Arabidopsis thaliana: one gene and its partner. The protein of the gene in region 1 purifies or fractionates together with the protein of each later gene. This does not show direct contact. Each region holds a gene or a part of one and is shown in the gene's direction. Other genes may lie near its edges.

What was found.
Region 2: the proteins of COL1 (region 1) and COP13 purify together in Arabidopsis thaliana (affinity purification with western blotting, with the first as the bait; one study listed by BioGRID). This does not show direct contact.

Annotation. Positions count from the first base shown.
Region 1 is NC_003076.8:5,170,562-5,185,101, reverse strand, and holds COL1 (CONSTANS-like 1), read left to right. Parts: upstream 1-7,204; 5' UTR 7,205-7,628; coding exon 7,629-8,345; exon of another isoform or gene 8,346-8,454; coding exon 8,455-8,805; 3' UTR 8,806-9,011; downstream 9,012-14,540. Other genes in the region: AT5G15870 (glycosyl hydrolase family 81 protein), read left to right, coding at 224-2,461; PCME (prenylcysteine methylesterase), read left to right, coding at 3,839-4,116, 4,378-4,454, 4,588-4,657, 4,787-4,867, 5,127-5,201, 5,298-5,399, 5,492-5,629, 5,719-5,784 and 3 more; AT5G15853 (uncharacterized protein), read right to left, coding at 6,795-6,995; CO (B-box type zinc finger protein with CCT domain-containing protein), read left to right, coding at 12,405-13,166, 13,400-13,759; AT5G15843 (uncharacterized protein), read right to left, coding at 12,720-12,873, 13,191-13,307, 13,406-13,764, 14,054-14,091, 14,199-14,208. UniProt on the Arabidopsis thaliana protein: Putative transcription factor that may be involved in the light input to the circadian clock but does not affect flowering time.
Region 2 is NC_003076.8:4,591,082-4,606,922, forward strand, and holds COP13 (Proteasome component (PCI) domain protein), read left to right. Parts: upstream 1-6,786; 5' UTR 6,787-6,888; coding exon 6,889-7,085; intron 7,086-7,267; coding exon 7,268-7,383; intron 7,384-7,483; coding exon 7,484-7,730; intron 7,731-7,866; coding exon 7,867-7,924; intron 7,925-8,011; coding exon 8,012-8,101; intron 8,102-8,301; coding exon 8,302-8,367; intron 8,368-8,520; coding exon 8,521-8,610; intron 8,611-8,698; coding exon 8,699-8,857; coding exon of another isoform or gene 8,858-8,905; exon of another isoform or gene 8,906-8,949; coding exon 8,950-9,071; intron 9,072-9,252; coding exon 9,253-9,325; intron 9,326-9,408; coding exon 9,409-9,480; 3' UTR 9,481-9,754; downstream 9,755-15,841. Other genes in the region: AT5G14230 (ankyrin), read left to right, coding at 802-1,101, 2,546-2,821, 2,921-3,058, 3,153-4,694; AT5G14240 (Thioredoxin superfamily protein), read right to left, coding at 5,142-5,314, 5,507-5,712, 5,813-5,956, 6,240-6,487; AT5G14260 (Rubisco methyltransferase family protein), read left to right, coding at 10,058-10,423, 10,541-10,616, 10,778-10,983, 11,064-11,150, 11,251-11,343, 11,558-11,712, 11,802-11,886, 11,983-12,069 and 3 more; AT5G14275 (uncharacterized protein), read right to left, coding at 13,708-13,926; BET9 (bromodomain and extraterminal domain protein 9), read left to right, coding at 14,092-15,201, 15,282-15,330, 15,417-15,524. UniProt on the Arabidopsis thaliana protein: Component of the COP9 signalosome complex (CSN), a complex involved in various cellular and developmental processes such as photomorphogenesis and auxin and jasmonate responses.

The DNA of each region.
Region 1 (14,540 bases):
TTACATTTTTAATTTGGGCATATACCAATATCTTGTCTACGTTTTAGCATCTAGCAAGTCTCCTGCACGTTCCCAAAACCTTAACTTGTAAACCATCTTTTATTATATATTTACAAAATTTCCCTATCATTTTTCTTTCTAACCAAACAAACCCCACAATTTTGCTTTTTGTGAACCCAATTTCCAAATCCGTCGTTATCTCTTCTCCTCTTGACTAAGCAAAATGTTGAAAAAAGTGAGGCGAAAAGTCAAAGTCTTAATCACCAAACCCTTTAAAAAGCCCAAGAACAGACCTCCATCACCACCACCACCTCTTCCTCTTCCTCCTTCACCATCTCCACCACCGTCTCAACAAATGTCTTCCTCAAGACAAAAAAACACTCCGTTTCTCTTCCCAAGATCCGATTCCTCTGTTCTACCCGACCCGTCTCGTTTCTTCAGCCACGATCTCCTCTCATCTCCTCTCCCTACAAACTCTTTCTTCCAAAACTTCACTCTCAACAATGGCGACCAAGCTGAGTACTTTCATCCTTACATCATCAAACCCTCGACTTCATCTCTCTCCATCTCCTACCCATCTCTCTCCCACAACTCTGCTTTCATCTACGAAGCTTTCAACGCCGACATAACCATAACCGGGTCAGATGGACCCGACCCGCATTCTCGTAAATCTCATCTCATCTCTTCCTTCAGCGATCTCGGCGTCACTCTCGATTTCCCCTCCTCTAATCTCAGATTCTTCCTCGTTAGAGGAAGCCCTTTCATCACCTTCTCCGTTAACTCCTCCATCACAATCTCAACGATCCACGCTGTTTTATCACTTTCCGGTAACACCTCTTCAACAAAGTACACCGTCAAACTCAACAACAACCAAACATGGCTAATCTACGCCTCTTCTCCGATCAATCTAACCAAAGACGGCGTTTCTTCAATCAATTGCGGTGATGGGTTTTCGGGTATTATCCGGATCGTCGTGTTACCAAATCCAAATCCGTATTTCGAAACAATCCTCGACGGATTCAGTTGCTCTTACCCAGTTTCCGGTGACGCTGATTTCACAAAGCCGTTTGCTTTAGAGTATAAATGGGAGAAACGAGGCTATGGAGATCTTCTAATGCTAGCTCATCCTCTTCATCTCAAGCTTTTATCAACCAACGATTGTTCTATCACAGTTCTAGACAATTTCAAATACAACAGCATCGACGGTGATTTAGTAGGTGTCATCGGAGATTCATGGGTTTTAAAACCAGACCCTGTTTCTGTTACGTGGCACTCTATCAAAGGAGTTCAAGAAGATTCTCACCAAGAGATCATCTCTGCTCTAATCAAAGACGTTAACGCTTTAGATTCATCAGCTGAGGTCACCAACTCTTCGTATTTCTACGCGAAATTGATCGCGAGGGCGGCGAGGTTAGCTTTAATAGCTGAAGAAGTTTGTTATCTGGATGTTATTCCAAAGATTAGAACTTACTTGAAGAACATGATCGAGCCGTGGCTTAATGGAAGTTTCGGACCAAATGGTTTCTTGTATGATCCAAAATGGGGAGGTGTGATTACTAAGCTAGGATCTAGAGATTCAGGAGCAGATTTTGGGTTTGGGATTTACAATGATCATCATTATCATTTAGGTTACTTTGTTTATGCGATTGCTGTGCTTGCAAAGATTGATCCTTTATGGGGGAAGAGATACAGACCTCAAGCGTATACTTTAATGGCGGATTACTTGACGTTGGGGAAGAAAGGAGCCAAGTCGAATTCGAATTACCCGCGTTTGAGATGCTTTGATCTTTTCAAGCTTCATTCTTGGGCTGGAGGGTTAACGGAGTTCGCTGACGGGAGGAATCAAGAGAGTACAAGCGAGGCTGTCAATGCGTATTACTCCGCTGCTTTGTTGGGGCTAGCTTATGGGGATACACATTTGGTGGCGGCTGCTTCGATGGTTCTGACGCTGGAGATTCACGCGGCGAAAATGTGGTGGCAGGTGAAAGAAGACGACGCTATTTACCCGCAAGATTTCACATCGGAGAATCGTGTGGTTGGAGTGTTATGGTCAACAAAGAGAGACAGTGGCTTATGGTTCGCGCCTAAAGAGTGGAAAGAATGTCGCCTTGGGATACAGTTATTACCGTTACTTCCGGTATCAGAAGTTCTGTTCTCGGACGTGACATTCGTGAAACAGCTCGTGAATTGGACAATGCCTGCTTTGGCTAGAGACAGCGTCGGAGAAGGGTGGAAAGGATTTGTGTATGCTTTGGAAAGTATGTACGACAAAGATGGAGCAATGGAGAAGATTAAAGGATTAAATGGGTTTGATGATGGGAACTCTTTAAGTAATCTGTTGTGGTGGGTTCATAGTAGAAACAATGATGATGATGATGATTATGAAGAAGACGATGAAGGTGGTTATGGTGGTCATGGCGGTGGCGGGAAGTATTGTTCCTTTGGTCATTATTGTCATTAAGCTTTAATAAAAAGTTGTTTGCGTTTTGGTTTGTTATTAATCAATGTTAATTTTAGCTTGTTTTATATAATGAAGCTTCATATAATTGAAATGATTCGATGATCTTTTCAAATCCTTTCTTCTTAATTACACCAATGATCTCTCTATGAGAATATCCACATATATACAGAATTCTATATGTCTAAAGTATTATAAAGGGAAGAATCAGTCATGTGCATGTATGGTTTGTGTATCAAGTGAATTCTGTCATGATCTTGAAACTCCTTCTCCAGAGAAGCTAAGGCTGCTTCATAATCATTATGGTTGTTGATATGTTCCATTGCAAACTCATTCAGATATAATAGACATCCCTTGTCGTTATAAGGGCATATGATTGATTCTTCTTCTTCTAATGATCGTTTCGCAGATGCGAGAGGGATATATAATGATAAGATAAGTGTTACCGAAAGAACGTAGAGAGTAGTACATGGAAGCACAAATCTAGACGTCATGGTGTTTTTAATGCTTTTGAAGATTTCAAAAAAGAGATCAAAGAATATGGCCACAAACAAAATCTGAACAAGATAGATTGTGATTGGACTCTATATATAATAGTCGATGACCAAAACAAAGTCTTTTCCTATTTTTAGTTGGGATCAAGTTGGTTTTTTTGTGGATAAGCTAGTGCTTCATGATCATCGAGTAATAAGTTTTTTTTTTCGTTTCAAGAAAATATGTTTTTTGTGTGGATTTTGTTTCTGATGAAATGATGGAATAGACGTGGCTGCAAGTTTGGATAAGGTGGCTCGGCTCCACTCCGGTTTATCTTTTGTTTACCCAAATATAGATTTGTTTTGTTTTGGTCACTGGTAATATCGAAGTATCGAATACGTCTGTCTGTGATGCTCGTATAAAATAAAACCAGTGGTATGGTTGTAGTGGTTGGTGGATCGTGATTCGTGAACTTTCTCTTAGATTCGGAAATATTCGTCACACTTTGGGCCCACGAGTTTTAGCATTTTCCGAACGTGGTAAAGCCCATGATTTGCTAATACTAGCTTCCAAAGTCGTCACACTACTCCATCCAATCACAAATGAAATGACTAACAAACATTTTAGAATAATCAATATTTTGCGAATAATTTCATTACTGTCTGACATTTGATTCTCTTTAATCACACATCATTACATGATCAAACGTCATCAATAAGAGCTAAGAACGTCGTCGTCTTGTACAAACTTTTGGTTATATCTACACACTACTTTACTACATTCCTCGTGTAGAAGGAAATGGAAAGCGCACAAAAGCGAAGATAACAAAAAGAGTTTGAAATTCAAAAGAGAAGAGCAACACGAAGAATCTTGGAATTCGAGATCCACTATTTCACGGCGGAAAAGATGCATTCGCCTCTTCAGACTCAGCAGCCGGAGCAGCGATGCTGGCCGATGACCTCGACGGTATCGGAGATCGAGGAAGTTCTACCCGATGAGGACTCCGATAGAACGACTCTTCTTAACGGTGAACCGTTACGTCGTCGAGTTTCCGGGAAGTCGCCGGTTGACGAAGGACCTCGTCGGATTTTCCGGCAGCAATCGTTCGGTCGCGATATCGGCCACGCGGCAGCTGAAACGTATCTAATTACTGGACTTAGCTTCAAGCTTCTTCGATACCTCGGGTACTGATCTCGATTGTCCCTGTTTTTGGATTTAGGTATATTGATGATTACGCTTAGGGAGGTAATTCGTGTAGATATTAGCTGGCTTTGCCTTGCTCTGCAAAGAATCCAATGATATATAAAAGTTCTCTGTCTTTTATTTTGGAACTTTACTCTAATTATGAAAGTTACTCCATGTGCTGTTGTTTTGCTCTTGTTTAACTTCTTCTTTTTATATTTCCAGTTGAGCAAGGATTGATCTAATTGTTAAGTTTTGTTCAGGGTAGGCTATCGATGGATGACAAAATTACTTGCCCTTACATGTTATGCTATGCTTCTTATGCCTGGCTTTCTTCAAGGTTTGATTTTTTTTTTTTTTTCTTTGCTGATAAATAAATTCATAGAAAGGATTTTTCCTTTTGATTAAGATGTTGTTTTAATTGGAAAATTAGTCTTTGATTCCTCGTCTCAAGTTTGTATTATCTTGTGCAGTTGCATATAGTTATTTTTTCTCAAAGCAAGTCCGGAGGAGTATAGTGTATGGAGATCAACCAAGGAACAGGTTTGTGTGTGAACTGAATAGAATCTTACCTTCTCCTTTCACATCGGCCTTAAGTGGTATGTTGAATGCCTGCTTTTATCACATCACCTTTGTCTTGAGATTATTGATGTATGAACGGTGATTTGATAGGCTGGATCTGTACTTGCCAAGCAACAACGATGGCTTGAAGCCGGTTGTGGTTTTTGTGACGGGTGGAGCTTGGATTATTGGGTGGGTTGCACATCAGATTTACAGCATTCTCTTCTGCATAATGTTGAAATTTGTTTGTTTTACAATTTCTCGTGTCCCACTTATAGAAGTTTTCCCCTTCACTGTTCTTTTGTTGATGTTTGAGTTACAAAAAGAAAAAAGTAAAGATCATGATGGGCTCTGTATTCTTATCTCACTGACTCACTCAAGTTTCATCTTCTTGTACTAGCTGGTTGCTTGTTAATAAGTTCATGTTTGCTAATCTTGTACTGATATTTAGGTACAAAGCTTGGGGCTCGCTCTTGGGAATGCAGCTAGCAGAAAGAGATATCATTGTAGCATGCCTTGACTACAGGTAAACAAATTACACAATTCAAAAAACTAGTCGTCTTTTATGAATATAGGAAGAACTTTCATGCATTTACCAAGCAATCCGTTCTTTATGGTATAGGAACTTTCCTCAGGGAACAATTAGTGATATGGTGACTGATGCTTCTCAAGGAATCTCATTTGTCTGCAATAACATCTCTGCATTTGGAGGTGACCCCAACAGGTTTCATCTCATTGGCTTTGTTTTTATTTACCATTTGATCTTCCAATTGGTCTCTCGGCTATTAAACTGCATGTATCTGCTTGTCTCTCTAGGATCTACCTGATGGGGCAATCAGCTGGTGCCCATATAGCCGCTTGTGCTCTATTGGAACAAGCTACTAAAGAATTAAAAGGAGAGAGCATCTCCTGGACAGTGTCCCAGATAAAAGCTTATTTTGGATTATCTGGAGGGTATCTTCTAAGCTTTTGGATTCCCGTTGGCTTCTATGTGCTTTTTGGTCTACAGCAATTGATCTGCTTATCATTTTGAACTTCAATAGGTACAATCTATACAAGTTGGTTGATCACTTCCATAATCGGGGTCTGTATCGCTCGATTTTCCTAAGGTAAATGCTTGGTTAACCAAATCCTAAACGCAGTCTGATCAGATCTAATGTTCAACTCCAACTTGCAGCATAATGGAAGGAGAAGAGTCCTTTGAGAAATTCTCTCCGGAAGTAAGACTGAAAGACCCAGTTGTTGGAAAAGCTGCTTCTCTTTTACCTCCTATTATACTTTTCCACGGATCCTCAGATTATTCCATACCATGCGATGAAAGGTATATATGATCATCTTCTTGAAGTGATACATTACTGATGAAACCTTTTGGGATACTAAAACCACCTCGTTTGCAGCAAAACTTTTACAGACGCTCTGCAAGCTGTTGGAGCAAAAGCCGAGCTTGTTTTATACAGCGGAAAGACACATACTGACTTATTTCTTCAGGTAAGCCACATAAATCAGTCAACTTACCTTACATTGTGTCACACACACAAACACTTAGCTCAGTGTGAGTACAATAAAACTCATGAGAGTATTGTTTATAGGATCCCTTACGAGGAGGTAAAGACGAACTCTTTGATGACATAGTCTCTGTGATACATGCGGAGGACAATGATGGGCTGACCAAAGACTCGTTGGCTCCTCCCAGAAAGCGTCTTGTACCAGAGTTGTTACTGAAACTGGCTCGTGAGATTAGCCCTTTCTGACTGCCAAGAAAGGAAAACAAGCTTTGTTTGTTGATCCTCAGTTTTTACCTTTGTTAGTTGCTGTGTTTTTAATTGCATCAGTAGAACATCATGTAAATAAAAACAAACTTTGTTGCTCCACCAAATTTATTTGACCCATGTAGATTTGAACACATGAATATGATTACTTCCACAAGTTTGAAATCTAATAAAAGCTAGTAAAGATAATATCGAGTTTTATCATATTCTCAAAAAGGTGATTGAGATGTGACAAACACTTGATAGACTTATACATGTTTTGTAACTATGAAATATGATGGTGATCATAAGCAAATTGGACTTGTATAAACAGACCACAGGTGATGTTGATATAACTATCGTTATTCACCTTAATTTGGACCCACCATTTGCTTCAACTTGTGGCTCCTAATCTCTAGAGACTCGTAGCGACTTGGCAGATTCCAATTGGCTCCTTGGATCTCCACCGTTGGCCAAATCAGCTTGACCGACTTGATGTGGAAGGAAACAAAGTTAGGACATGCCATATCTATTATCTCCAACATATCACCAAAAAAGACACCTAGCATCATTCGAAGATAACAAATGGTTAAGAGTCATAATCTTTTTAACAATGCTAAACAGTGATCATTTAATTTTTATAATTGAAATCATGAGACGATGAGAGAAACCTGAACAGTTAGAACATGGCAAAAGTTAAGAATCAAGATAAACATTAGGCTAATGGTCAAGCCAAAGAGCTACTAAAGTTTCCAGCTTTACCAAAATAGTAGTAGATGATACAAAAATAGTTAGAAGTTGCACGTTTCAGAACCTAGGTAACATGTGGATGGGTCCTATAGAAGATTACATAGGAAGAGGTGTTTACACTTATTGAGGAAGAAAGAGAGAAAAAGTAGTAACTATTGGTGCCATTGCAAAGATATAAGAAGACAATTAGTTTTTTTCTTTCTTTCACATTTCGTGCTGGTTGATGATTCCAAAGCTGTAAGCATCTCTGCACTGGACCCCTTCTCAAAAACTCAGCCAGCCACAAGATGATCACTCAACATCAAACCCACAAACTTCTCGCCACGTGTCCAGCCCTCAGAATTCTATCCTTCCTTTCCATTTCCATTCAACAACTAATATAGCCTTCTTAGTCCCCTGCTGCCTTTACATACGATCTCACTCACCATCAAACAACTACAACATCTGCGGTTAGTATGTTGAAAGTAGAGAGTAACTGGGCACAAGCCTGTGATACATGCCGATCAGCCGCCTGCACCGTGTACTGCCGGGCTGATTCTGCCTACTTGTGCTCCAGTTGTGATGCTCAAGTTCATGCTGCCAATCGTCTTGCTTCCCGCCATGAACGTGTTCGAGTCTGTCAATCATGTGAGCGAGCCCCGGCTGCCTTTTTCTGCAAGGCAGATGCTGCATCTCTATGCACAACCTGTGATTCAGAGATTCATTCCGCAAACCCACTTGCTAGACGCCATCAACGAGTTCCAATTCTGCCCATTTCTGAGTACTCTTACAGTTCCACGGCCACTAACCATTCATGTGAGACAACAGTGACAGATCCAGAGAACAGACTTGTGCTTGGTCAAGAAGAAGAGGATGAAGATGAAGCAGAGGCGGCTTCATGGTTGTTGCCTAATTCAGGGAAAAACAGTGGTAACAACAATGGCTTCTCGATTGGGGATGAGTTTCTGAACCTTGTTGATTATAGTTCGAGTGATAAGCAATTCACAGATCAATCCAATCAGTATCAACTAGACTGCAACGTACCTCAGAGGAGCTATGGGGAAGATGGAGTTGTTCCACTTCAAATTGAAGTATCAAAGGGCATGTACCAAGAGCAACAGAACTTTCAGCTGAGTATCAACTGTGGCTCCTGGGGAGCTCTTCGAAGCTCCAATGGTTCCCTCAGTCATATGGTAAGCTTTCATATATTTAATTCAGATCCGTTACTATGACCAGCATGCTGCTTCTTTCACACAAATCCATGAAGTAAATTTCTAAGAATGTCTTTGTTACTGTCATTAGGTGAATGTTTCATCTATGGACCTGGGAGTTGTGCCGGAGTCAACAACGAGTGACGCAACAGTATCAAACCCAAGATCGCCCAAAGCGGTAACAGACCAACCACCTTACCCTCCAGCTCAGATGCTCAGTCCAAGGGACAGAGAAGCTAGAGTCCTGAGATACAGAGAGAAGAAGAAGATGAGGAAATTTGAGAAGACGATAAGATATGCTTCAAGGAAAGCGTATGCAGAGAAAAGACCACGGATCAAGGGCCGGTTTGCAAAGAAGAAAGATGTCGATGAAGAGGCAAACCAAGCTTTCTCCACAATGATAACATTTGACACCGGATATGGAATTGTTCCATCATTCTGATGCTGCTATGGCAAAACTAGACTGCATGCTTGTAAATTACTTCTGGTTTGAAATTCCTGCAAGTTATTACCACGGTTTTATGCATATAGGGTCTGTAGTTTACTAGTTTTGCCTAACTAGTACGAGTTAATTAGATATACACTCATACTTAGCTGCTGTAAGTTAATACAAATTTTGCCCACTTGGTAGAAGTCCTCTTATCTATGAAATACTGCCCTACAGTCTAAATTCAAACTGATGCTACAAAGAGATATGCATTAGTATAGCTAGCTGTACCAAGAACAGTCAACACGTAACTCACCTTGCCTAAGTTCAAAGTTAATGATTCCTTTCTTGGTGACACTTTCCACATCACTTTATCACGTAGAAGATAAATGATTCCACTTATGCCGCCCCAAAGACAATTTCGCACATCCCTGAGAAAAGAAAGTTGTACTCAATATGATTTTATACCAAAAGTAGATTACAGAGACAAGTGTAAACATGTAAAACTCCAATAAAATCACACACTGAATAGTCAGGTAACAAATAACCAAGAATCCTGAGTGAACAATGCTAATAGGTACAATTACATCAACGCATATTCTTGTACTGATTAGTGATTAGCATTGGTGCTAAATCCATTCCCACGAGGTTGTCTCGGATAACAAGATTCTATCACTCACAACCACTACTAGCAGAATATGTCAATGCCTATGGACCATCCAAATGAACAAAGATATTCAGTGTGAGAAATCTATTTCTTGGTCTATCTTTTAGAATAATAGCTCACTTTTTCCAAGGTATATACTGGCACTAAAGAATAACGACGCAACCAAAAGAAAAAGGGTGACACTGTAAAGCCTTCACTTTTTGCCACCTGGAAAGGGCCAGAGATCAACTTATTTACCACTAGGATAGCTTCCCACTTCAACGGTTAAGCTGATGAATTCATGTACCAAATCAATACTTTTTAGCCATAAATGAGTCAGTTTTAGTATCCACATGAATTTACCTACCAGAGTGTTGTAAATTATGTTCTTTTGGGGCCACTTACATGGATCTCATTCATTCACTGCAGCGAGTTCTCAGACCACCAGAAAATTTATTCAGTGATCTGTTTTGATCATGCAACATAAACTTATAAGCCACACAAGCAAAACAAAGATATCCCATGTTGCATATAATACGAGCTAGCATATCATAAAGAAGGAAACTTGAAGTAGCAAAGTTTCTACTAAATTTCTTGTCAGGAATTTTTAAAATGCAATGACAACCACTTGGAGCACTATGAGTTTCAGAGCCAATAGAATGTTACTATTTGGTGTGGATTCGAGCTAGCACGTGAAAGTGCATAAAAGTGATTACCTTTTGCCAAAGGTCACTGCACTTTTCCTCAGATAGTTTCTCACAGCCATGGAAAGTGGAGAATCCGCATAAACGTACAATTACAAGCTTTATATGGTCCCTCGACTCTTATTCTCTTCTCAGTCTTTGCAACTAAATAGGGTTTTCGTTAATCTGAAAGAAGCAAAGTATTCGAAACCACGGAAACCTGATAAAGAATGAAAACAAATAAGCAATAGTGTTTTCTTGAAAATCTCGATGCAACTTTGAGGATATTGTTACATATGATCTATTACTCGTAACAGTTATCCGAAGGCCTACACATGTGAGAGAAGTTCCAAACCGCTACAACAATAAACTTAATTAGAGACTGTCAACGAGCAATAATAAGCAAAACTACTTTTTTCTTGAGCTACAAGTGAAAAGGCCAATACACAATTTACTCTTCATGAACTCGAACCACGTTACAATCTCCAAAAAATTTCATCACCAAAGCACTAAAAGCCAAAGATGCCTCAACTTATCCAACTTGGCAGGATAAAGATCTCCAAAAATGCTTACTAAAGAACCTAGAATCTTTTCTTTAGAATTCAATGATCATATAACCATTTCATAACAATTCTAAATGCCATTACATTCATCGTAAAACCAGTAAATAACAAGAACTTGTATGTTAAGTTCCAATTACCAAGCAAAAAAAAACTTTTCAAAGTTTAAAGTTCAAAATGGGAAAGAGAAGTGCGGTGTAAGCAAATATGAAAGAGGAAGAGATGCGAAAAGTGTATCCTAGGACCAGCATTTTATACAAAAAAAAAACACTCACTTTTCAGCTCTTAAGGCATAGAGTGAAGGTAGCCATATGAATTTGGCCACTAGAGCGTCCGTCAAATCTCATTCTTTTTGGACCACATAATGGGTATCATACATTCACTGGACCCAAAAGCGTAACTGGAGCTAGTCCTCAAACCTAGAGAGTATCGTATCCTGTAGCTTCCACATAGTAAACATTATGAGCATAACACCAACAAGGCAACTCCAAGTACTAATGGTTATTAGTACAGGAAAACCCACGATGCTAAACACATGAATGGGTCACCAAATAGAGTGAAGATGGTTAAATTGCATCTATGGATCATGTGGACTAGTAAATGAGTGTAGCAGAAAACTTCACAATTACCTCTGTGATCTTAGAAACATGTCCTGAAAATTCCATACAAGTGTCGTTTGTATTAGATTACTTCCACAGGTTGAGATCTAATAAAGCTACAATAAATAGTATAGAGTATCATCATAAACCCAAATTACAGAGATGTGACAACACTCATGAGTCATGTTTTGTAACTACTTACTATAATGGTTACCAAGTGCAAATTTCTACATACTATATATGATAAATCTAATTATTGCTCATGTGGACTCCAAAATGCCTTTTAAGTTTTAACTTGTGCGTCAGGTAAATTCTAATTTGTAGTCTCAAGACTACTTGGCGGATTCGAGTTTGATCCTAGAAAATCCACCGTCTCTATGTTTTTCATGTCACTTTTCCGATATGATTCTCATTACCATGACTTTATGAACCAGATTAAACATTATAACACTTTTCATCAGAAAATCCTTCGAAAGTTTCAATTGCAAATCTTTCTAAATGATGCAGATGCATTCACAAATAATGGAACAACAACTATACCATATTCACGAGTTTGTCTAACCTTTGTATAGGTAGTCAACCCATAACAGTTGGTGATGGCTCTGACACTCGAAGCCTTACTCGGAGAGATACCTGAACAGTAATCACAAGGTTCAGGATGAATATTCAACCACTTAAACTTTGTATAAAGCCAAAGAGATAAAACGAATCTAGCTTTACTTTAAATAAAATGCATATGAAAATAGTAAAAGGTGATACGAAAAAATAGTAACAATTTGCCTGCAACACCATGGCATTATCCGGACCACTTCCTCTTGAGAATCTCAGTATGGCAAGTGGCAAAACCTAAGCAACTTGTGAACGGGTCCCAACGAAGAAGTGCATAGGAGGAGATGTTTACACTTTACACTTTACACTTTACACTTTACACATAGGCCTTCCCAAAAGCTCAACTAGCTGCAAGAGGATCCAATAACATGTAAGAGCCACTAACGCTGTGCCACGTGTAGGCACTCAGGATTCGATCTCCCCTCTACTTATTCTCTCACACCAGATATAAGCTTTATTAGCCCCTTCTTTCAGATACCAGCTCCCACACCATCAAACTTACTACATCTGAGTTATTATGTTGAAACAAGAGAGTAACGACATAGGTAGTGGAGAGAACAACAGGGCACGACCCTGTGACACATGCCGGTCAAACGCCTGCACCGTGTATTGCCATGCAGATTCTGCCTACTTGTGCATGAGCTGTGATGCTCAAGTTCACTCTGCCAATCGCGTTGCTTCCCGCCATAAACGTGTCCGGGTCTGCGAGTCATGTGAGCGTGCTCCGGCTGCTTTTTTGTGTGAGGCAGATGATGCCTCTCTATGCACAGCCTGTGATTCAGAGGTTCATTCTGCAAACCCACTTGCTAGACGCCATCAGCGAGTTCCAATTCTACCAATTTCTGGAAACTCTTTCAGCTCCATGACCACTACTCACCACCAAAGCGAGAAAACAATGACCGATCCAGAGAAGAGACTGGTGGTGGATCAAGAGGAAGGTGAAGAAGGTGATAAGGATGCCAAGGAGGTTGCTTCGTGGCTGTTCCCTAATTCAGACAAAAATAACAATAACCAAAACAATGGGTTATTGTTTAGTGATGAGTATCTAAACCTTGTGGATTACAACTCGAGTATGGACTACAAATTCACAGGTGAATACAGTCAACACCAACAAAACTGCAGCGTACCACAGACGAGCTACGGGGGAGATAGAGTTGTTCCGCTTAAACTTGAAGAATCAAGGGGCCACCAGTGCCATAACCAACAGAATTTTCAGTTCAATATCAAATATGGCTCCTCAGGGACTCACTACAACGACAATGGTTCCATTAACCATAACGTAAGGCTTTTGTATATTTGTTACCCCTTCAATTTAGCATCTTCCCATAACGCAGCAGGGTGAATTCTTTCATCATACACACAAATCCACTGATCCACTGCCAACAGTTGATCTATAGCACATAGAAATTTCACCAGAAGTCTATAATAAAAACAATATATGCTTCCTTTTGCATCGACTCTCTTTAGTCCTCTTACCAGGGGGATTGAGAATGTCTTTGTTTCTGTCATTAGGCATACATTTCATCCATGGAAACTGGTGTTGTGCCGGAGTCAACAGCATGTGTCACAACAGCTTCACACCCAAGAACGCCCAAAGGGACAGTAGAGCAACAACCTGACCCTGCAAGCCAGATGATAACAGTAACACAACTCAGTCCAATGGACAGAGAAGCCAGGGTCCTGAGATACAGAGAGAAGAGGAAGACAAGGAAATTTGAGAAGACAATAAGGTATGCTTCGAGGAAGGCATATGCAGAGATAAGACCGCGGGTCAATGGCCGGTTCGCAAAGAGAGAAATCGAAGCCGAGGAGCAAGGGTTCAACACGATGCTAATGTACAACACAGGATATGGGATTGTTCCTTCATTCTGATACTCCTGTGGCAAAAAGAAAAACTAGATTGCAAGCTGTAAATTACTTTTAGTTTGAGATTATGTTAGGTTTGGTGAAATTCTTAGCTTCAAGAAGTATTACTACTGTTGTGCAAATGGGTTTGTAGTTTTGGCTAATTAAAACTATAGTATTCTTCTTTCTCTGCATTAGTTAAACAAAACCAGTCTAATTGGTACAGATCCCCATTTGTGAAATATGGATCATCAAGAAGTGAAAACGCAGATTTCACCTTGCTAACTACTAAGAGGGAAGCCAAGGTTCAAAGCCAATAACTTCCCGATAACCTGAACATGTGACACTTTCACGCCTCCCTGACAACAAAAAGATTCTACAATTCAAGTTGATAACACAGACTCCTCAGCTGTAAATCACAACTTCTTACTAAAATGAGTCATATCACGTTCCTAATTGTAGAAACCATCAGCCATATATGTTCTCGGCTTCAAGAACTGTAAGAAGAAATAAGTAATAACAACCAAGTGTATAGCTTATACTATGTGTTAATGTTAAGTGATGGATTCGAGACCTCACGTGAAAAGTTCATAAAGTGATATAAGGATGCTGCACTTTGCACTTTTTTGCACTTTTCCAAAAATCTAAGGATAGTTCAGATCGATTCTCAAAGCCATCAAATTTTAAAACCATTCCCAAACTTTACATGGTCCCTGGGCCTTCATAGATTCTCACTCTTTTAACTTCTTGCTTACAAAAAAAAAACCATTCTCCTTAATCTGAAGTAGGAAAAAGTCTGCAACTACAG
Region 2 (15,841 bases), 580 kb from region 1:
GCTATGCTTGGAGACAAACTGAGCTAGACCACGACATGTAAGAACTAAGAAGCGATGTTAAGTTTGCCTCCAGTAACAACATTCAATAAACAACCAAATCCTTTCGAGGTAAAATAATAATTTTAAAACGAAATATATAAAACTTACATCTGAAAAATTAGTTCCGACCAAAAGAGTTAGCACCTCTTGGTTTTGTACCTGCATGCTAACATATCAGGTTGAACAATATGCATTAATTGAAAGTCAATCTGAAAAAAGAAAAGAAATATTATATAATGGGTGTATTATCATAATAACTATAGAAATAGTTGTTTTTTTCTTTTAATGTTACAACATGTGAGATGTTATACCTTTTATTAATTACTAATAAAAATACATATATTCCCCATTTATGTTCTACTAATATGCAGACAAAATGGTATTTATTACCAAAATAATGTATCATCAATTAACAATATGGATTATTTTCTATTTAAGCTATGCCATTGCACCCAAGCCAGTGACACTGTGACAGTGTATCAGCATAACTCACGGTTAAAAATGGGACCCACTTATTCTCATTAAATTCACCAATTTTAACCATTCATGGTTTTTTAACCGCGGTTAAACCTGTAAAATCCCGTTTCAATAAATTCTCACACTCTTCTTCTTCTTTCCCTGGCGCTCACTTCTTTTCAAGTCTCTCTCTTCTCTCTCGAGCCTCGCGTCTGTGTAAAGAGACAAAACATATTCTCTAAAGCGGCGACGTTTAAGAACATTCGGTCAACGACTTACGGCGGCGTTGGAATCAAAACTCCGACAATGACGGTTTTCTCCGGCAGACAAGTCGTTCCGATGGATTACGAAGCCGAGGTATCACAACGGCTTCTAGAAGCCATCCTCGACGGAGATTTCAAAACGGCATCGGATTGCGTCTCCGATCCACTCGTCGACGTTAATTTCGTCGGCGCCGTCAGCTTAAAAACAAGGAGGAGCGAAGTCGTCCTCCGTGATGAGTCTCCCAGCGAAGTCCGCGTCGAGTACGAAGAATTCAAAACCGATGTAACGGCGTTATTCCTCGCCGTTAATTTCGGAAACGCAGCTCTCGTGAAGGAATTACTGGTAATTATTTTTCTTAATCCGAGTTTAGCCGTTTCTTTAACGTTTTTTGCTTTAAGATTTTGAAACCGATAAACAAAATTTGCATTGATTTAAATCTGTGCAATTAATTATACAATTCGACGTTATTTATTAAGCAAATCGGTTTCTAATAATAATGCTTTTGATGTGAACAATATTTGTAATTTAATTTTTGTGCTTTGTTTGAAACTTTTGCGTTACGTTCCATTAATGGAAGACGCAATCTATGGAGAATTGGTTTCCTCGTGATTTCCATTTTGCGTTTGTTTTTGCGCGTTTCTGCTTAGTGGTGTGATTCGTGGTACCTTTTTGTCTCTTGAATTAAAGACCCCAAATATATGTTCTGTCTGAAGCTTACTTTACTTTTTCCTCTTTTTCGAAATTCAAATTTCGAACGAACGCTGATTATTACTTCTCTCTGCCTTTTCTATGAAAGAAATTATTCCTGTAAAATTTTGGTAAATTTCAATAAAATTTTCGATCTAATGATAATTAATCAGAATGAGCTAATTCAGTGGCGTTTACTAGCACTTGTCTATACTTAGCTCTAGTCATTTTTTGTTTTTTAAAAAACGTGGATCGGATTCCGTGAGAGTTTTTAAAAATTCATAATCTGTTGACTAACTTTAATCTTAACTGGTGGAGTGTTAGGATCCTTCCAAGCTGCCAAAAATGTTATACTAATAAATTACATCTTTTAGCGAGTCAAATTTGCATGTCAGGCGGGGATTATTTTCCAATTTTGAAGTCAGTCACACAACTTTTTCTTTTGCTTGCATCGTCACAGATTTACTTTTATTGAGATTCTCATTAGCCTTTGCTAGACCATATATGCTAATGATGGATTTGCGATTAGATTTGAAATCAACAGCGTTAGTTATATTAGGCTAAGATCTGGGAAAAAAACATGTGCATTTGGATTGGTCTTCGTTGAGGGATATTTTGAGACACAACAGTGCCAAAATGTCACTATTGGTTTGCAGTGATAATTGAATGATTTGATTTGATTCTCTCTTGTTTTCCTGAAAGGAACTTATGAATATTTAGTACGACAAGAAGTGTTGATATAACACCATGTAACTTGTTTGTGAAACAGAACCTGAGGCCCCGCCCCATTAGGTGTTGTCACTTGTCATTGGCTGCATCTATAGTAGACGAATACTATATTTGCATACTTCCATCTTTCCTTTTAAGCCATGCTCCTCTGTGTCAGGGTTGTTCCCTAATGTTCATGTAGATCCATTTTCAATTATTCACTTTGCATTATTGTACAACTTTACTATTATACACAGTTTCTTTTGTCTTCTTCTGCCTCTGGATTTTCACCTCACGTGGTGTCCTTCGCACTTAGCAGTGTAGTAGCTTAAGAAAATATTTTCTAATTTTATAACACTGATCTGACTTTTCCTGTAATATCATCTCACAGAACATTGGAGCTGATGTGAACCAGAAGCTCTTCAGGGGATTTGCAACAACTGTTGCTGTAAGGGAAGGTCATTTCGATGTCTTTGAGATTCTACTCAAAGCTGGTGCTTCTCAGCCCGCTTGTGAAGAAGCTCTAGTAGGGGCGAGCTGTCACGGACGCTCGAGGTTCGTTGAGCTGCTTATGGGAACTGATCTTATTCGGCCTCAGGTTGCTGTGCATGCTCTCGCCACTGCTTGTTGCAGGGGTTTTGTGGACGTCGTAGGGACCTTGCTCAAAGTAAGTTCTTCATTTCTTGTGGTTTTAAAAGTGACCGGTTAGAATTGTTCAATAGCCATCTTACAGTAGATAATTCTTCATGTTTTTGCTTCATTACAGTGTGGTGTAGATGCTAATTCAACCGATAGGCTTCTTCTTCAATCTTCGAAACCTTCTCTTTACACAAATGTAGACTGTACAGCTCTTGTTGCTGCCATTGTCAATAGGCAAGTCTCTGCTGTCCGCGTCCTACTACAGGTAATTTTGGCTCTGCAAAATTGAAAACTTGTTCCCTGCAAGGAGAGAGTATGTATCTAAGACATCAAAGCTTTTCTTTCAATGATATGCACAGGCTGGCGTCAAGACAGATATCATGGTGAGGCTTGGAGCATGGTCATGGGATACTAACACTGGAGAAGAGTTTCGGGTGGGAGCTGGAGTGGCTGAGCCCTATCCTTTAACCTGGTGTGCTGTAGAATACTTTGAAACTAGTGGCGACATTTTGCGTTTGTTGCTCAAACTCCAGTCTCCAAACGCTCTTCACAACGGTCGGACTCTTCTACACCATGCTGTCCTCTGTGGCAACAAGGCAGCCGTCAGTGTCCTCCTTGACTGTGGCGCCGATCCAGAAGCTCCTATCAAAACTTCACGAGGCATTGAACTCAGACCGATTCATATTGCTGCACGTGACGGATCAGTGGAGATCATACAACAACTCGTTGGCTTTGGCTGCGATATAAACTCGAAGAATGATGTAGGGAACACAGCCCTGTTGATCTCAATAAAACACAAACATCCAGAGTGCGTCAAGGTTCTCGCCCTTGATGGTGCTGATTTCGGTTTAGTGAACAAGTTTGGTCATTCTGCTGTTTCGATCGCTGAGTCAAACAAGTGGTCTCTTGGATTAGAGCGAGTAATTCTTGAGCTGATCCGGTTCGGTGTTGTTCCACATTCAAGCAACGCTTCAGTATTCTCGCCTTTGCTATATGGGGCTCAAGCAGGAGATGCTGAGGCGCTTAAAGCGCTTGTAAAAGCTCAAGACATCTACCTAGACTATCAAGATGAGGAAGGCTTTTCGGCTGCAATGCTAGCGGCCATGAATGGCCACGTTGAAGCATTTAGAGTCTTAGTCTACGCAGGCGCAGACGTGAAGCTGTATAACAACTCTGGCGACACGGTAGTCTCTCTGTCTGAACAGAACGGTAACCGTGACGTGATAGAGAAGGTGATGCTCGAGTTTGCTCTCGAGAAGGACAGCAGAAACATGGCAGGCGGGTTTTATGCTTTACACTGTGCTGCACGGCGTGGAGACGTCAAAGCAGTGAAGCTTTTGAGTGGAAAAGGATACAGTCTAGACATCCCGGATGGAGATGGCTACACTCCGCTCATGCTTGCAGCCAGAGAGGGCCATGGACATATGTGTGAATACCTAATCTCCTGTGGCGCAAACTGCAATGCTAAGAACGGAAGAGGGGAAAAGCTGCTGGATCTCGCGACTGGTGATGCGGAGAAGGTGATCCGTAATGAGTTGTCTCGGAGGTTTGTGATAGAAGGAAGCAGTGTGATGAAACACACCAAGGGAGGGAAAGGAAAGAAGCATGGGAAAGGATTGAGAATGTTGGAATCAAGTGGAGTACTAAGTTGGGGAAAGTCACGGAAGAGGACTGTGGTGTGCAAGGAAGTAGAGATCGGGATGAGCCAGCGGTTCAGGAAGAACCGTAAGGGGAAAGGCGATGGAGCGGAGGAGGAAGGGATTTTCCGGGTAGTGACTACGGAAAACAAGGAGGTTCATTTTGTGTGTGAAGGTGGGTTGGTGTGTGCAGAGATGTGGGTGAGGGGAATACGACTTGTGACCAGAGAGACAATTTGTGGAAGAACTCAGACTCAGAATTAGTGTTGTTTATGTATGTATATAAAGAAGTTTTGAGAAAGGGAGCTTCATTTTGAAGGTAGTGTGCTTCTATTGTGTTGGGGATGTTTATAGTTCTTGGGTTTGGTATCTGCAGTATATTTGTGAACTGTGAAGTAGTTCGAGTTGCACATGAATGAAAACTAAAACATCTCAGTTGATTTGAGATTCTCCAAATTTGATTATTACTTTGTCCAAAACAAAGACTATTCTAAACTTACATGGATTCACAGGCTTAGATCCAGCACTAAAATTCGGCATGTGATACCTGGATATCAAAAAACAACATGAAGTTCCTGTCTCTTTCAAAAGAACAAAAGTTACAAAATGTTTAAAAAACATTACATCACACAAGAAGTCAGCACTTTTGTTTACCAGTCACCAACTCAACAAGCAATAACCAACAGAGATAAACAGAGAAGCTTTGAAGTTCTAATCACTATTGTAACCACCATCATCGTTATCCTTATCTTCGTGGTCCTTCACCACTCGTTCTATGAACTGTCTTCGAACTCCAGCCATCACAGCTTCCCTCGAGGAGTCATCGTCTCCTCCTTTGCCATCGTTAAGAACTGGCTCTGATTGACACAGAAGTAAGGCTACACCTGAAAAACCAAATCAGTTGCAAGTATGTTAGACATGTGCCTAAGACCAATCTGCTCAAAGCATGATACAATCGCCAATGTGGTCACATCAGGTCTCAGATCAGACAAAGGCTAGAGATGAGACATGACATAATCATCAAACACAAATAAGCACAGATTACATCAGACAAACAAGGGTTCATTCAAACTTACTCTCTGGGGTGCACCTACGGCCAAAGCTCTTTAAGCCTACATGAGTTCCTTTGATGGCGCCATGGTGGTACACCAGCAAGGTAGGAAGATTGCAATCAGGGTAGTTCGGAATACAATCAGTAGATATTATCTTAACGAACTTTGTTGCTGGGTATCTACTACCCAATTCGTCTAGACAACCCAATAGCAAACTACATTCTGCAACACTATCAGAGAACAACAAGAAATAAACATGAGTTAATAGTGTTTCAAGCATGTAGTAAAGAATGGCTCAACAAGAGTTCACGAATACTTGAAAAAACATACCCATCTTTATAGAGACATACAACAACCCAATCTTCAGCAGAAGCTTGCGTAACCTCCCTCACGAAATCAGAGCCCGAGATGGGAGTCACTGTTCCATATCTTTTAACTTTAGCAGCCTCTCTTAGCTCAGACAACCTCTTCTTCCTATGAAAGCATCAAAACACATTAGTGCCTGTGAATCATGAAGTGTGTTGCACAATTATGTTTAGCCTATTCATCAACATCTCAAATAAGATACTACCCTCAATTGCATTCATATCCAAAACACAAACGAATCGAGAAAAACCAGAGCTTGATAATTGCATTCCCTAGCTACATGGCAACAGATCCGAGAAAATTGAATTCACAATCCACCAAGGCAAGGATTCTCCAGGGAAAGTTAAGATTGTAAATACAAAAATCAGAATGTTCGATTCGATCTACGAACCTGTATTCTTCGAGAAAGCGATCATCGTCGAGATCTTTGTCGTCCTCAAGATCCTCAAGCTCCTCCTCTGTCTTCTTATCAAACCATGCCTGATCCTTAGGAGCTGAAGACTCGTCTTCCGCCGGAGTATACGCCGGAGGTTTGAAAGCCGGAGCCTTCTCCGGTAGATTCCCCAATTTCCGCTGGATATCATCCCATTGAGTTGACGCTCCTTCAATGTCCTTATACACGAAATGATAATCCGCCATCAAAGTATAACCACCTACGAAGCTTCAAAGAGAACCTTTGAATCTGAGAGGAGAAAAAGCAGATTGCTTTGACACTCTGTGATCGCAATCTCGTTCTTTCTCTGGAAAGACGAATGATAAAAGGCCATCCCCGAAATTGGTCTGGCTAAACCGACAATTACCATCTGGTACATTTCGAACCGGGAATATTTGGTTTAAAAGCCGGTTAGATATTGGTTTATTATTCTAGAGTAATGTATTAGACTCTTAACCGTTCGGAGGGTTCGTATATATATTATGAGAGCATGTATTTTTATGGAGAAGATCCAGAGATAATTAAACAAACAGTTTAGCAAAAGATTTTGAGAGGGAGAAAAAGGGCGATCGATTAGGGTTTTTGTGTTTTCGTCTTAGTATCGAAGATGATCGGAGCTGTGAACTCGGTGGAGGCTGTGATAACGTCAATCCAAGGTTTATCGGGGAGTCCAGAGGATTTATCTGCACTTCACGATCTTTTGAGAGGAGCTCAAGACTCGCTCCGAGCCGAACCAGGTGTTAATTTCTCTACTCTTGACCAGCTCGACGCCTCGAAGCACTCTCTCGGTTACCTGTATTTCCTGTGAGTTTTAACCTATTGGTAGATTAGGTTTTTGTTACTAGTTTGTGTATACTTTGAGGCTGATTGATGATTTTGGTTATTGGAACTTGATGTGTGTGATTAGGTCGAAGTTTAACAAGGAGAATTGTCTATGTTATTCGATTTCTGATCTTTGAGTTTTTTGTATGGTTTGATTGTTACAGTGAGGTTCTTACCTGTGGTCCAGTGTCGAAGGAGAAAGCTGCTTATGAGATACCGATAATTGCACGGTTCATCAATTCTTGTGATGCTGGGCAGATTCGTTTGGCGAGCTATAAATGTAATTTACTGACACTTAATGAGAGCTTATCTTGTCTTAATGTGTTTTCTTTTCTTTTTTCTTTGGGGAGATGGATGATGTTATTATATTGATTTTGCAGTTGTATCTCTTTGTAAGATATTGAAAGACCATGTTATAGCACTGGGAGATCCGTTGCGAGGAGTAGGGCCACTGTTAAACGCTGTTCAGAAGCTTCAGGTCTCCTCCAAGCGTTTGACTGCATTGCATCCAGATGTTCTTCAACTCTGTTTGCAGGCGAAATCGTACAAATCTGGTTTCTCCATTCTTAGTGATGATATCGTGGAGATTGACCAGCCAAGAGACTTTTTTCTCTATAGCTATTATGGGTAAGCAATTTTTCCTCATTGCTATCTGTTTTTTTCCTTTGATCAATAGATGTGTAAACACATTAAATCCATCCCTGTTGGGTTTGTTTTATAGTATTTTCTTATTCTGGTCCTTGATTACCTGGACTTTTGATAGGGGAATGATTTGTATTGGACTGAAGAGATTTCAGAAAGCATTAGAGCTTCTTTACAATGTAAGGCATTTTTATTTTTTCTTACGTGCTTTTTATACATTAAGGACTTTCGTTTTAGTTTTAACTCAACCTAAGTACTTGTATCAGGTTGTGACTGCTCCTATGCATCAAGTCAATGCCATAGCTCTTGAGGCGTACAAAAAGTACATATTGGTGTCTCTCATTCACAATGGGCAGGTAAGGCTGTGTTCTTTATATTTTACTTTCTTTGTTTATCTAGTTTTCGGTCATGGGAGCATATTGCACGAGTCTGAATCAACTGTATGTTTTTGAGAAATGTTGGTTTCACAATTACATCCTGTGTCTGATTTTAATTTCAAGCATTGGTTAATCTTATGATGTTTTTCTTATAATCTTGTTTGATTTTACTTGTGCAGTTTACTAACACTCTCCCCAAGTGTGCTTCTACAGCAGCACAGAGGAGCTTCAAGAACTATACCGGAGTAAGTTTGAACCCGATCATTAGTTGTATTTTTCATGTTTGAATGGAGTCTGGTCCCTTTTTCACTTCAGTCCAAAGATTTCAGTTGTTTTGTACTCCATACCAGCTAAATCTATTTTCAGGCTTATGATTTTATCGTTCACCCTTTTCTCAGCCTTACATTGAACTGGGTAATTGTTACAACGACGGGAAGATTGGTGAACTAGAGGCATTGGTTGTGGCCAGGAATGCAGAATTTGAAGAGGTAAATTGCCTCTAAACATTTACCATAGTTTCTGTACCAATATTAAATATTCATCCCCTTCCATAACTTGGGCGAAATGCTCTTTCAGGATAAGAACCTTGGATTAGTTAAGCAAGCAGTGTCATCCCTTTACAAGCGTAACATTCTGAGATTGACACAGAAGTACTTGACCCTGTCGCTTCAAGATATAGCCAACATGGTCCAACTTGGTAATGCTAAGGAGGCGGAAATGCATGTGCTTCAGATGGTATTGTGTCCCACACTTGATTTTTGGAAGCTAGCTTTATTAGTTTAACTGGTATGTTGGACAATATCATTTTTTTCTTTACAAACCTGCAGATCCAGGATGGTCAGATACATGCCCTTATCAACCAGAAAGACGGGATGGTCAGATTCTTGGAGGACCCTGAGCAGTACAAATCTAGTGAGATGATTGAGATCATGGATTCTGTTATACAAAGGTATGTCTACAGAACTAAGTGTTTTGATATGGTTTTTTTTTGGGAAACATTGCTTGAATGTTGAAACTCGTAATAAGGAGTGCATAATTAGCACTTGGAATCAAGTTGATATGGAGATGACTGTTTTGCCAAAGGAAAGTAGTAGCATCAAACAAGTTATGTGTTTTGATAAAAATTTCAGGACTATTGGTCTGTCGAAGAATCTCTTAGCCATGGATGAGAGCTTATCATGTGACCCTTTATACTTGGGAAAGGTAATTTAATACCATATTCCATTAGTCTTCTGTCCTGGAAACCCATGTTTCTCTGACTAAGCCGTTTGACTACTTTTTTTCAGGTAGGAAGGGAAAGACAAAGGTACGACTTTGGAGACGATTTCGATACTGTTCCTCAGAAGTTCTCCATGTAAACAGCGAAAGTCGAGAAGCACCAACAAAACTTGGCTCAAAGACAACCGTAGTGTGAATCTTGAGAATGTTACTTTTGATTTCTTTGTTCATTTTTGTTGGTTTAAAAAGTTTCATATTTTTGTCACAATTGCCAACAAGTAGAGAAGACCATTATGGACCCTCAAATCTTTTATTTCCCTTTTACTTAAAAAATTTTCCCCTTGCGCGTGTATCTCTCGTGCTAACTTACGCGAGCGTTTTATCATTTGCAAGGGTTAGAGAAGTCTCAACGGCGTCGTATCAAACTCGTTTTTAACTGCGTGTCGTTTGGGGAATCTGATAGACTCCTTGTTGTGGTGGGCTAGTTTCAGGCCCATTCTCGCTAAGCGCCACGTAGATTTTTATTTCTTTACTCATTTTTTATGTCGCATCTTCCCCATTTCGTTTTCAACCTGATTTCTCCATTTCCCTCTCTTATCCTCAATGAAAAAAATAATCTGAGAAAACGCAAAAGAAGAACGGAGCAAAATCCTCAGAATCGTCGCCGGAGAATCTTTACGTTTCGACATAATCGGAATTTTGGAATTGATAATTCCGATGGAAGGGGTTATCACATGTTTCCATACGAAATGCGTCTCTCTTCCAATTCGTTCTTTCCCACTTTCTAGGGTTTCTTCACTTCCTCGGTGGAGGAACAATAAATTGATCTCTTCATCGCGATCGGTTCATCTAAGAAGCTTGTGCGTTTCGAGCTCAGATACTTTAGTCGCGAGCGGTTCACCAAAGGAAGACGAGAGGCAGAGCAAAGTATCGAGCAAGAAGGAAGGAGATGACTCCGAGGATTTGAAGTTTTGGATGGATAAGAATGGGTTGCCACCTTGCAAGGTTATTCTCAAGGAGAGACCAGCTCATGATCAGAAGCATAAACCTATACATTATGTTGCTGCTAGTGAGGATCTTCAGGTGGTTGACTTAGCATTTCAACAGTTTTATTTGCTTATACACAGTTCCATAGGGTATTCCAAGTATCAATTTCCGGGTTTTGATGGTAAATTTTTCCTAATTACCTGTCTTTTACAGAAGGGTGATGTGGCGTTTTCAGTTCCTGATTCTCTGGTGGTTACTCTGGAAAGAGTTTTGGGAAACGAGACTATTGGTATGAGACATTCTCTATTATGTTTCCTATTCCATAAAGCTACTTCATCAGTTATGCACTATAATATTTGGATTAGACTTTGTGATTTCTCTTAGATAAGGGTGGGATTACGGGTGTTTTGATTCTTGTCTGAAGCCATATAAACTCTCTTTATCACACAGCTGAACTGTTGACGACGAACAAATTATCCGAACTGGCTTGTCTAGCTTTGTATTTGATGTATGAGAAGAAACAAGGAAAGAAATCAGTATGGTATCCCTATATAAGAGAACTTGATCGTCAAAGAGGAAGAGGTCAGTTAGATGCGGAATCCCCTTTGCTGTGGTCAGAGGCTGAGTTAGATTACCTAACTGGTAGTCCTACCAAGGTATTGCGTTAGTATATGCCGGACGTGTGATGAACTAGTATAGTGGGTTCTTAGTGGTTAACTTCTTTAACATGGTTCAGGCCGAAGTTCTTGAGAGGGCTGAAGGGATCAAAAGAGAATACAATGAGCTTGACACTGTCTGGTTCATGGCTGGATCTTTGTTTCAGGTGTTTGGCTACCTACGATTTCGGCTTCTTCTTGTCATTTTAATATATGGAATGCTAAACATCGGCCTCGGACTTACACCATTTTATTTGTGTTTTGCAGCAATACCCATTTGACATACCAACTGAAGCTTTTTCATTTGAGATTTTCAAACAGGCATTTGTTGCCATTCAGTCATGTGTGGTGCATTTACAAGTAATTTTCATTCTTTTGGGGTTTACTTTTCACAACTTGAATGTCTTTCTGTATTTGAAAGAATAGTTAGAGTAAAATATAATAATATGGTCTTACCTCTATTACTCTATCGCTGAATCTAAAGTTTAGCTTGCAGCTCATCATTTAAGCAAGTAGTCAGGTGGTGCTTGTTGCTTCTTCTAATTTAGATTGTTATGCTTCTTCTTGTACTCAGAATGTCGGTTTGGCTCGTCGGTTTGCTTTGGTTCCTCTTGGTCCTCCCTTGTTGGCCTATTGTTCCAACTGCAAGGCAATGCTTACTGCTGTTGATGGTGCTGTTGAACTCGTGGTAGATAGGCCATATAAGGCCGGGGATCCTATAGTTGTCTGGTGCGTCTGTAAGCCAAATTGCTTCCTACAGCTAGCTTTTTCATTCTGATCTATTTTTCATACTTTTGCATTTCCTCCTTTATTTGAAGGTGTGGGCCACAACCAAATGCGAAATTGCTTCTGAACTATGGATTTGTTGATGAGGATAACCCTTATGATAGAGTAATAGTTGAGGTAATTACAAAACTTTGTTGCGTTACTGTAAACACTAGTGTAGTGTTCATGTAATTCCTCACTGTTTGCATGTTTTATGCGTCATACACATTCAAGGCAGCGTTGAACACTGAGGATCCTCAATACCAGGACAAGAGAATGGTTGCTCAAAGGAACGGAAAATTATCCCAACAAGTATTTCAGGTATGACTTTCCCATGGCAACAAGTCTACTTTGAGATGTTCTGTCTGATTTTGGTTTTGCATCCATCTCAGGTTCGTGTGGGAAAAGAAAGAGAAGCTGTTCAAGACATGCTTCCCTACCTGCGGTTGGGTTACATGTCTGATCCTTCTGAAATGCAGTCAGTAATTTCATCCCAAGGTCCAGTTTGTCCGGTAGGTAGAGGATGAGTGACCTGGCAAAACTTTTTTCTAAGTAATCTTTGATATTTCCTTGATTGCATCAAATGTTCAGTCCCTACATGTGAGGCCTCCAATGTTACTGCTACATAGAAAGTTGTTGACACACTTGTAAAGGTTTAACTCTCAAGCTCTTTTGTAGATGAGCCCTTGTATGGAAAGAGCAGTACTAGATCAGCTTGCTAATTACTTCATGAGACGGTTATCTGGCTACCCTACTACTCCGAAAGAAGATGATGCATTGGTATGTCTTTAGACTTTGTGATCGCTACAGATCAAACACATTTTTTTGTTTGGTTTTCCTGCATGACATGACATTGATAGAATTCCCAATCAACAGTTGGCAGATCCTAGTTTGAGTCCTAGGAAGCGAGTTGCAACCCGGCTTGTCCAACTGGAGAAGAAAATACTAGTTGCATGCCTTACGACAACAGTTGATCTTTTAAATCAGTTGCCCGATACAGCCATCTCTCCATGCCCAGCACCATATGCTCCTTCCTTGAAATAAAAAGGCACGTATCTCTGCCCCCTGCCTCTCTCACTTAATAACTAATATTTTCTGACCTTCTAAAACTATGTTGGTTCAGGTTCGTGTTGTAGCTGCAATTTGTGGGACATGGCAGGAGTAATTTTTGGTCGTGTCCTTGATCATTACAATCTGAGGTCGCTTAACTACGGTCAGTTTTTGTGTGTACAAGTCTAGATCTGATCCTTTGCGGCTCGAAAACATGACTAGGAAGTTTCCAAAATAATTTTGATTTTGTAAGATTTCTTGCTAGCTACAAAGCCGAAATCTATCTCCTTATAGATGGTTTATTGTTGTTTATGAATTCAGAAGTTGATGATTTCAAAGTTTTAATGCATTGCAAATTGCAATTGCAGGTAGATAAGGGTACTAGGAGCGTTATCTGCCGCTTGACACGCAAATGTTTCAGCATATGATTGTCCTTTTTTTCTTACAACAATGAAGCCTTAAGTCGCATTGTTCAAAGTGTACATACATGAATGAACCTTCTTGTTCTTCCCCAACTCCCTCTGTAATGTTTTATCTCTGTTTTAGAAATTTAGAATTTATCATTTCCAAAAAAAATGAATAACGAAATTGAGCATTTTGTCCATTGGATACAAAAACGTCAGGACGAGCCGATAGAGTGAACAAAAACGGCAAGCGGTTCGTTGAATGCGTTGACTCATAAAAATCTTCGCATCTAAAATATCTATTGGTGTCTCACTACACTAGTCACTAGATCTGTTCGATTAAAATCCGACGGTGTTTATTGATTGTTCCTGAGTGTTCCCGTACCGAAACTCGTTAACCGATTCACCGTTAAGTGTGGAATCAGACAGTGAAGAGATCAACAGATATTTATCTCTCTACTTCTCTCGGTCGTATTCGTCATTCTGCCTTTTATCTATTTCCATATCAACATTTTAGGGTTTTTACTCCTCTAAGGTTTCGCTTCTTCTTAGATTCTCTGTCTTCCGCTTCAGTTGGATCATCGATTTTCTCAATTGCTCTGAAGTTCAGCCGGTGAGTTTCTTCCTTTTCACGATTTTGGTGTTTACTTCCATCGGGCAATTCGAAGTCTTCATTGCAGGACGAGTTCAGATTTGAATCGCTTAAATTAGGGTTTTGAATCATCTATCTACTATCGGATCGAGATTATCTGATTTAGAGTCATAAGAGTCTTCGGAGATTAGCTTTCTGAAGCAAATCCGTCATACGAGATGTTTCGTTTCCTGCAGGATTAGACTGATCCGGAGCTCTTCACGAGATTAAGGGAATCTATTTCACAATTTCGTCGATATGACAGAGAGAAACGGTGGTTTCCCTGGTGATTATTGTTTTGAGGCACCCGGTGGAGATTATGATGAAGGATCTGATAGTCCGAGGGTCTCAGAGGGTTCCAATTGTTCAAAAAGAAAGGTCGGTGAAACCTTCGGTGTCTCGAAAATGGTATTACCCTTATCTGGCCTATCATCATCAGATAGGAAGGAGTTGATTCGTAGGCTAAGACAAGAGCTGGAACAAATACGAGTTTTCCAGAAGAATTTTGAGCTTTCTAGAACAGTGGCTCTCACTAGCTCTTCTGCTAGTGGTTTGACTCGAGTCAAGAGTTTTGGAATGTCGCGATGTTCCACGGGTCCAGGAAAGACGGTGAACCCTATAAGTGCTGCTTCTAAACCGACTCCTGTCACTACTGCGGTTATGCTTCTGATGAAGCAATGCGAGGCGCTTTTGAAACGATTGATGTCACATCAGTATGGTTGGGTGTTCAATACTCCAGTGGATGTTGTCAAGCTGAATATACTGGACTATTTTAATGTTATTGAGCATCCTATGGATTTAGGAACTGTGAAGAATAAGTTAACTTCGGGGACATATTCCTGTCCGTCAGAGTTTGCTGCTGATGTTCGGCTTACCTTCAGCAATGCAATGACGTATAATCCACCTGGTAATGATGTTTATGTTATGGCTGATACACTTCGTAAGTTTTTCGAAGTGAGGTGGAAGACCCTTGAGAAGAAATTATCCGGAACTAAAGTTCATACTGAACCGAGTAACTTAGATGCCCATAAGGAAAAACATATCGTAATACCTGTGCCTATGGCTAAGAAGAGGAAGACCACTGCAGTAGACTGTGAGAATGTCGTAGATCCTGCTAAACGGGTTATGACTGATGAGGATAGACTCAAGCTGGGCAAGGATTTGGAGTCCTTGACTGAGTTCCCGGCACAATTAATAAATTTCTTGAGAGATCACAACTCAAATGAAGGAGGGATTGGGGATGATGAGATTGAGATTGACATTAATGATCTCAGTGACCATGCCTTGTTTCAGTTGCGGGATCTCTTAGACGAGCATTTGCGTGAGATCCAAAACAAAAAATCAAGTGTTGAACCCTGTGAGATAGAGGTATATCTTCGTCTATATCTCATGTTTGAATCATCTAATTGCATCATCACTGCTAATAGGGAAACTTTTATCTATTGCAGCTTCTGCATGGATCAGTGCCAGGGAATTCATCAATGCAACATTGTGATGGTTAGTTCACAGCCTGCTTGTGGTTCGATAAAGTTTTTTGCTTGGCTCTTTAATCAGAGTAACATTTTTTACTGTATTCGTTGTAGGGAGTGAATTGGATGATGAAGTTGTTGACATTGGTGAAAATGAACACCCAACATCCAGCATTTCTCCTGTCACGATAGAGAAGGATCTGGTGTTAGGAAACTCTAATGGTATCTTTTCTTTTGCTTGTTTATATTGACATTCTTGTTCTCCATAGAACTTTTGTTGGGGTATGGTTGTTACATTTGTCATTTCCAAACTCTCGTGACCTCAGATTTTCTCAGAAGTGGCCTTGGAGCCATATTGTTGTTGATATGCAGTGAACGTTGCTAGCGCACTTATTTTATAATTTTTAAATTAGGAGGCCTTTTACATTCACTTGTTTACTAACTAAAACTAAATTGCCTTTCGTGTTCCCTTTATTGATTTTATGGTGATTAGACTATCCCCTGGGTTGTACTACTGATTGCTCCTCTTTTGATGCATA